2 linked regions of the Bombyx mori genome follow. The protein of the gene in region 1 purifies or fractionates together with the protein of each later gene. This does not show direct contact. Links are inferred from orthologs where the notes say so. Each region holds a gene or a part of one and is shown on either strand. Other genes may lie near its edges.

Region 1 (3,832 bases):
ATCTCAAGGTGGGTGACGCATTTATGGGCTCCAGTAACCGCTTGACACCAGGTGGCTGTGAGCTCGTCCACTCATCGAAGCAATAAAAAAAATTAATATTTTTTTATTCGTTCAATTTTAGTATCCGTAAATGGTTAATGAAGATATTACGTAAAAAAGATGAGTAACCTGGTTGAGGCGCAGAGCGTCCTGATGCTCCAGAGCGGCGATGTCGTCGAACGCACCGGCCTCCATGGTGGCTTGCTGCTCGCGCAGAAGGTTCTCCTCCTCGCGGAGGCGGCGCAGGTTCTGCTCGAGTTGCGGCTCGGACGCCATGGCCGACTCGTCCAACTCCATCATCTCAGAAGAGGAGTCATCGCTCATAGAGGACTTCTTCTGTATTGGCCCTGAAACTGTTCCCGAGTTTGCCCTCGTCACTACGGTTAAATCTATTCCAGATTCTAGCGGTTACGGCTTGACCTGGAGTCGTGGAGTGCTCGGCTTGCTGAACTCGGCATTTGATCTATTTCTGGCGATCTATTGTTTAATCAATGTCAGATCCTAAAATAATATTTGCAGCGACGCATCACGACCTAGTATCGATATCGAGATTTTAATATTTATTTGACCCTACTAACCTTCTTACCGTCTATTTCAATTTGAATACTAGTGATGTAAAGTCAATGACTAATGTATTAAGCAAGTATTCTTCGTATTTTCTAGAAAATCCTACTAGTTTAATGACTTCGTATCGTTTACGGGATTAGCTTCTGTAGTGCTATTAAAATGTAGTTTTTGGATAGAAAATAAAATTAGGTTTTATATATTGGGTGATTTTTTTAACCTTGGATTGTGTTTGAAGAAGTAATATTTTTAGTCGAATCGATGAATTTTTCAAACAAACAGCCTAATTTGATTAAATATGCCACAAAATTGTATGACAGATTCTTAAATTTATTAAGAAAATTATAAAATCTTTTGCATACTCTAATGTGTGTGACGTTCTTTAAGTATGTATGCATACCTACTATTATCATGCGTAGAATGGAGCGACTCTATTCACAAATTGTTTTTTATTGAATCTAAATCAGTTTCGGAATACGAATTTAGAACTGGCCGGTTGCCATCTGTCGTGAGTATTACGAAATTACCGTTGATTTATTCAAACAACTTAATTGTAATACTATGTGTATTGTGTTAAAAATTTATCGTTAATAGGTGCTGGTAACCACGTGTAAATTTGAAGTTATATAGTCCTTACGGAGAGACACTATAAGCACATTTGAATCGACTGAAAGAATTAATCGGTATTTTCTTATCGTAAATTAAAATCCTACGATGCGAATTGCCGGAACAGAATAATAAGTGGGAAAGAAAAAAAAATTGTAAAAAAAAAAATACAAAAGAAAAAGAAACAAAATAAAACTTACTTTTTACTTCCTCACTTTATGTCACAATATCGGTAAAACATGATTTCGGAACAAATATAAAATGTTTACGACTAATATATTAATACGGCCATTCACACGGCTGGTCGTCCTAATGTTCGCAACTAGGCATCGAATGGAAAGCGAAGTGATGATAAACAGCATACAAAATAAAATAAACAATAAATGGTGCATTTAGACAACTACATAATAAATAAGATCAGAGAACGGCGGTTCGTATTTGGGTGGTGGTGCATGAAAAGCGTTTAGTGATTGACACGTTCACAACATGTTGTCGGCAACATGAGCCGTGTGAATGGCGAACAACATTCAAAACATATCAGCCGGCCGAGCTGAAATCGTGCCGCGCCCCAAACTCTCTTCTCGCCCAAACAAATCATAAAAGTACTCGTAAATTTTACATTTCTTTTAAATCCTTGTACTGAAACGTTATTCTATAAATTTATATTACACGAGCATCGATGACTCTCAAAGTCATTACACATAAATGAGTTATCGGCTCCCGGAATATTTATCACGCGTTCGACCGAGTAATGTGAGTGATATATTGTTGAGATTTCCGACTATACTCGTAAATCATAATTAAATAACTACATGAAAATATTTTCCACTCAAACATAACTAAAAAGAAAAGTAAATAACAATTTTTATTATCTTATTTTTACATCGCTTACTGACTATATAATATTTACACGGAACTAATGGCACGCTTTCGTCCCTTACACGATAATATCACAAGAATCGTCTCTGCCGATCGGAATAGTCCTTAGTAATACAAAACGAACACACGAACGAGTCAGACAGTCAGTGGTCACAGCAAACCTCGTCCCTCTCATCGTCCCTCCCACCTGAAATTATCGAAAATCAACATAAACGAAACAAATCAAAAGAAAATAAAAAAATAAATAAAAAAAAACGGAGCATGCAGTGCGAGGTAAAACTGTGAAGCGCAACGCATGCAAATAAACCAACGGAGATATTACGGACAATGGAGTTTACCAACATTCGCTTGGTTCGCAACACGTCAGTTCATATAAAGAGAATGTCGAGCTTACACTAATGAAACGAAGAAATCGCGAAACTTACTCAGGTAGGGCTCGCCCATGGTTCCCGGCAGGTAGGGGCAGCTGGTTACGTGGTTGAAGTTCTGGGACTGCATCTCTTCCTGGTCAGTTTCGCGGTGGTAGAAGTAGTTGAAGTTGGAGACGATGACGGGCACGGGGAGGGCGATAGTGAGCACGCCGGCGATGGCGCACAGCGAACCCACGATTTTCCCCCAGACTCCGACCGGCCTGTACGCAGCATGAGGCACTTATTAGAAAGAGAAACGGCCCAACAATCACCTAACAATACAACATGTTGCCCTTACTCAGTAATTATTTCTGTCTGCAATAAATATTATCTTTACTGATAATAAACATGCAACATAATTTTACATACCATAGCTCTCAGATCAACAGCGTCCTCGTTCTTTTATGTTCATTAAGATAAACGAAATCTAAAGTTTTTTATTTATTTATTAAATGTACATTATATAAAAAAGAGCTTAGCATTCGCATTTTTGCGTTTGTTTAATGAGAGTAGAAGAAGTACTATTTCATTCGTCATCTTTCATTCTCGCCAGCTAGTTACAGAATTAAACTGCAACTTTTCAATAAACGCATTGCGGTTTCGTGTTATCGCCAGCGCTGCGTCCGCCGGAGGAGAATAGATCCATTAAATCGAACGCACAGCCAGATATTTTTCATTACGGACAATTAGCTAATTGTGCCTATAACGACATATCTTGTGTGAGTCCCAAAGATCCATTCCGCTCCTAACGAAGGCAGATTTAATTGAATACTTATTTGATATATTACTAATAAATACTAAAACTAAAACATGACAAATACTACAAACGAAGACAAAAATCATGCACGTAAACAAACCACTTTTTAACATTGAACTGTGCTCCTCTATCGAAAATGGTGTGTGAGCTAAAAAAATTTGTGCTAAATATATAAAACAGCAATACATCCAAACGAACACCAATTTTACATAGTAGCATATTATTAAATAAGTGTAAATTTCACCATCTCACCAGAAAGCCTCATACGCTAGACACATTGAGGCTTCAGGAGGCAACGAGATTACTAAGTGATCACAAGCGTTACAATAACACGATGAGATCCACTACAGTACAAATGCGATGATGACAACAGTGCGGCCGGCTCTTGCCACCATTTTCGATGAGCTTATGTCGATCAGTGTAGGCGCCACAACATCGATGCATACATTCAAACATTTAGGATACATTGACAATATAGCGTAAGCGTTATTGTGGAGCGAACATCGGTGGTGGTGGTGGTGGTATATAGATGCCGCTTCGGATTCAAGCTGCGCAGGTTGGGAGCAGCCAGACTTTC
Region 2 (4,474 bases), on another chromosome or scaffold:
TTGATTCAGTAAACAAATTTAACACCAATAAAACATCCTACCAGTAATTTATTCAAGTAGAATTTTCATATATTGCCACAAAAAAGTGCATTAAAATACGTATTGTATTATATTTCTATATTGAGAAGTTTCATATGAGCACTCGTAAAGATACTTTATATTTTATGTAACTATACTTGAGACCTTAGAACTTATTCTCAAGGTGGGTGGCGCATTTACATTGTAGATGTCTATGGGCTCCAGTAACCACTTAACACCAGGTGGGCTGTGAGATCGTCCACACATCAAAAAAAAAAAATTACAATTATTTACGCAAAAGTTAATAGGTTAAGTATGTTAGATTCATACAATCAACTAATTCAATTCACAAATTTAATATACATGCTATAACAAAACTAAGTTACATTATAGCTTTTTCTAGAGATTTTATATTGACTTAACAACTTATTTACGTGGAACTTATTATTGGCGTAGGTTACCTCTTTATCTGAAATCTAATCTCCATATGCAATTAACATTTTGACTGCCGTGTAGATCACCGGTGACCTACGCGGCGCTATGAAGTTATTATGTCGATTTCTTTCTTCTATCTTCTTAGTAAGGCGCGGGAATATCTAGTAGACTATGGGAAAGACGAATCCGAAGATACTGAGAATGAATCTATTTCTAAGAGACCCTGTTTTTTTAACGCTCGGGAATACGGATACCCGGTCGAGAGGGGTTCTAACAGACCGGGTTATGTCGGACTCCGGCGCCTCCAGAGAAGAAGAAGGAAGACCAAAGACTTCCTCTTCTTCCAATGCCTACCGGGAGACTACGCCCTGAGAAAGAAGCGCGAGGCGCTGCGCGTATTTCTAAGAGACCTAATAGACTAAAACATACATTAAAAAACAAAAGAAGGCAAAGTAAGGCAATCCAGATCCTTAGTAACTGAAATCGACATAATTACTTCGATGCGCCGCATAGGTCACCGGTGACCTACATAGCAGTCAACGTGTTAATTCTAGAGCTACCAATTGGAGCACATTTAAAATTACGTAAATATTCTGTAAAATAATAATTTTATTCGTGTTCGGTTTCAAAGCTGTATCCTTATCATTAAAAATAAGGCCGAGACTCAAAAATATTGAAAACAATCTTCAGACTGTAATTATGAGAAGACTCCTTCTTTAGTATTTAGTATATAGTTACAACGGTTGCCCCGCCCTTCAAACCGAAACGCATTACTGCTTCACGGCAGAAATAGGCAGGGTGGTGGTACCTACCCGTGCGGACTCACAAGAGGTCCTACCACCAGTAACTATACTGAGATCTTAGAACTTATATCTCAAGGTGGGTGGCGCATTTACGTTGTAGATGTCCATGGGCTCCAGTAACCACTTAACACCAGGTGGGCTGTGAGCTCGTCCACCCATCTAAAGCAATAAAAAAAAATAGTATATATAAGTATGGAGTATATATTCTATATTATAAGCACACAGATTAGAAAGGTAGGGGATGGTAAAAACCCAAAAAATTGAAGCCATGAGTTGATGTAATTAGGATACTCGTAACTTTTGAGCAAAAAGCTGCCGCTTATGTTCGAGCTTATATTTTAAATGACATGAATTTGACCTTGGACAATTATTTTGAAACTTTCTCTCGTATTTACGTATTTATTCAATTTTATTCTAATTTAAATATGTAAAATTAAATGAATAGTCACTTCAATCGTCTCTTCCGAGGAATTCGTAAATTATTGTATACTGTATTTCTTCAATTCATTAATTTTTACATTTTTTAAAGTATGATGTGAGATGTATTTACCTGGAACGGGAAATATCCAGCGCATTTTTCGTTTTTCTTCTGTTGTAGTGAAATGATCGCATCGATTTCAGCTGAACGATGGCTCAGCCATAGCCGCTTCAAAATACAGAATTTTTAAAATCACATTTTAATATTAAAAAAAAAAAATTTTTTTGTAAATTTTTATATTAAAAAGTTCTTTATTCTTAATTACTTTAATTATTTAGTTAGGCTATCATAGTTCGAGAGTTTTCGATAAGTCGTAAGCGCCTAATGCCAATCCCTGCAGTATCAAAATGCTGAGAAATGGCGGGAAATCGACGCATGAAAATTTTATTTGTAAACTTTATCATATAACGTCTATGATTTTTAAATTGTTTGGATTGAAGTGTCTTTCTGTGTTCGAATCCAAAAAAATGTGGATTTAAATAAGTTATTTAATACTATTGTTAAGTAATTATCCAAATCAAGTCTTAGAACAAATTTTGGAAGTAAATGTCTATGAAGCTCCTATGGGATACACACAATTTTAATAAAATTTAAATAATAATCTTCGTTAATTTATTTAATTTAATTACAACTTCGAAGATTTGTTATGATATAAATTACGGTATCCATAAGAATACATGAATGAATTTTAAGATAATATTGTTATGTGGTAACAATATTTAGTTAAATGTCTAAATGTTATTTTTCGTGTATCAGGCAAGGGACACTGCGTTAGGGATCTCAGCAGTCGGCAGTATGCGCAGACATTATTGATTTTCCAGCGAAAACACTCGCAAACCATTAAAATCCGTCAAAACACTATGAAATATAATTCAATTAAACGGTTTGTGAATTAATTAAGATTTATATTTATGTCCTTCGTTAATTAAAAATTACATAAATAACTGTGTTCAAATATTTTAAGACACTTCACTCTCATAAAATAATGAGAGAGCTAGCGAAACCAATTTTTTTAACTTTTCATTCTATAGAATGTATTTTTATTCGCTTACCGGCAGTAATTCATTTTATTTTCCTTAAAAACTAAAACTATATTATATTATGTACACAACATATGTTATAAACGTTTTTTAATCATTATTTTACTAATAAATAAATGATTTGCGATTTTCTGGCGTTTTACAAGCGTCAGAGGATTTTAATGAACATTTTTTGGTTGCAAAGTGATACACTATCACGCGCGCTCAAAAATTACTGATGGGGTTACCAACGGCGCATTTATAGCCACTACCAATTCTCTGAATCAAGGCTTAGTAGAATTTTTATATTTTTTTGCTAGACAAAATTATGCTGTAACAGTATATTTTCAATGATACTTTTATTACTAAAAACACAGTTAAATTTTTTAAAATGTATTTTCTGAAATATTATTGTAAAAAAAATCCAAGCTAATTGCACGAGCATTTTTAAATACAGATATAATAGAGAAGACGTTAGGAATTATTAATTTCTAAGTACCACTTGTCTGAGATTTGTGAAGTGTGCGATCATAGCCCTCGATTATCAATTTATAGAATAATTTTAAAGTTAACATACGTTTTTGAACGACTCATACGATAAAGGAACATATGGTTATAAGCATCTGCAAATGTGTGACCTGAATACTTTCAACTAAAACAAACGACAGATCATTGAACATGAAAAATTGGATCATGAAGCTATAACCAACCCCTGGTCTTATAAAAGGAGTTTGTGCATTTGTATATCTATGAGACCGGTAAAAAACTATCAAAATCTTAGACGGAGAATAAATAAAATTCCTACTAAGTGAAGGTTTCTTTTATTCTTGACAGCACTGTCACCCCAGCATTGGTTATGCCTATGTCGCTATGCGGCAGTATTATGTGCATTGACAATTGATAAATTAAGCGTAACACGTTTATGTAATAACGTATTTAATTTAATTAACAAGAGATTAAAATAAGCTGCTCCTTTTATGTATTCAACAAGGGCCCTGAGCGTTTCCACTTTGTAATACTCTACAGATAGCCAACATTCGTGTGTAAAAGTTACATAATTAATTTGGATTCTGCTGTTTTTGCCGCAAAGCAGTACATATTGCGGTTTGCTATTATTAAACATTGTTTTTTCCTTTCTAATGCTTAAAAACGAAACATTGTAAATGAATTACTTATTTCTGGAAGAAAACTATTTGTTTATTAGTTTTACTGAATTGTATTGGTGTATTTTGACTGTTGGTCAGAATGAATTTATAACACCGCTCGTCTCCTCGTAAAATACGATAAGCGATCGACGATAATCTTGTGTAAAAGAGACCTCGCGTCATTAGACAATAAATTAGATGAAGATTAGAAATTTGACTCCCTTCGCGGTAAAGTCACACTACACTTACTGGTGGTAGGACCTCTTGTGAGTCCGCGCGGGTAGGTACCACCGCCCTGCCTATTTCTGCCATGAAGCAGTAATGCGTTTCGGTTTGAAGGGTGGGGCAGCCGTTGAACTATACTGAGACCTTAGAACTTATCTCAAGGTGGGTGGCGCATTTACGTTGTAGATGTCTATGGGCTCCAGTAACAATTTAACACCAAGTGGGCTGCGAGCTCGTCCACCCAACCAAGCAATAAAATAAAAAAACGTTAGTTTCTGACAAAATCGCCCGTCTCTTAGCCGCCGTTAACTAAACCTGTTATAAAACCCCAATGGTCTTGGCATAGTCTGT

Evidence for each region.
Region 2: the proteins of potassium voltage-gated channel protein Shaker (region 1) and protein quiver purify together in Drosophila melanogaster (affinity purification with western blotting, with the first as the bait; 3 studies listed by BioGRID). This does not show direct contact. The link is inferred for Bombyx mori from reciprocal best matches to the Drosophila melanogaster genes Sh and qvr.

Annotation. Positions count from the first base shown.
Region 1 is NC_085107.1:19,182,754-19,186,585, reverse strand, and holds part of potassium voltage-gated channel protein Shaker, read right to left. Parts: intron 2,720-3,832; coding exon 2,529-2,719; coding exon of another isoform or gene 2,514-2,528; intron 2,276-2,513; coding exon of another isoform or gene 2,232-2,275; exon of another isoform or gene 1,400-2,231; intron 387-1,399; coding exon 169-386; intron 1-168.
Region 2 is NC_085108.1:8,129,666-8,134,139, reverse strand, and holds the start of protein quiver, read right to left. Parts: upstream 2,994-4,474; 5' UTR 2,787-2,993; intron 1,903-2,786; 5' UTR 1,832-1,902; coding exon 1,807-1,831; intron 1-1,806.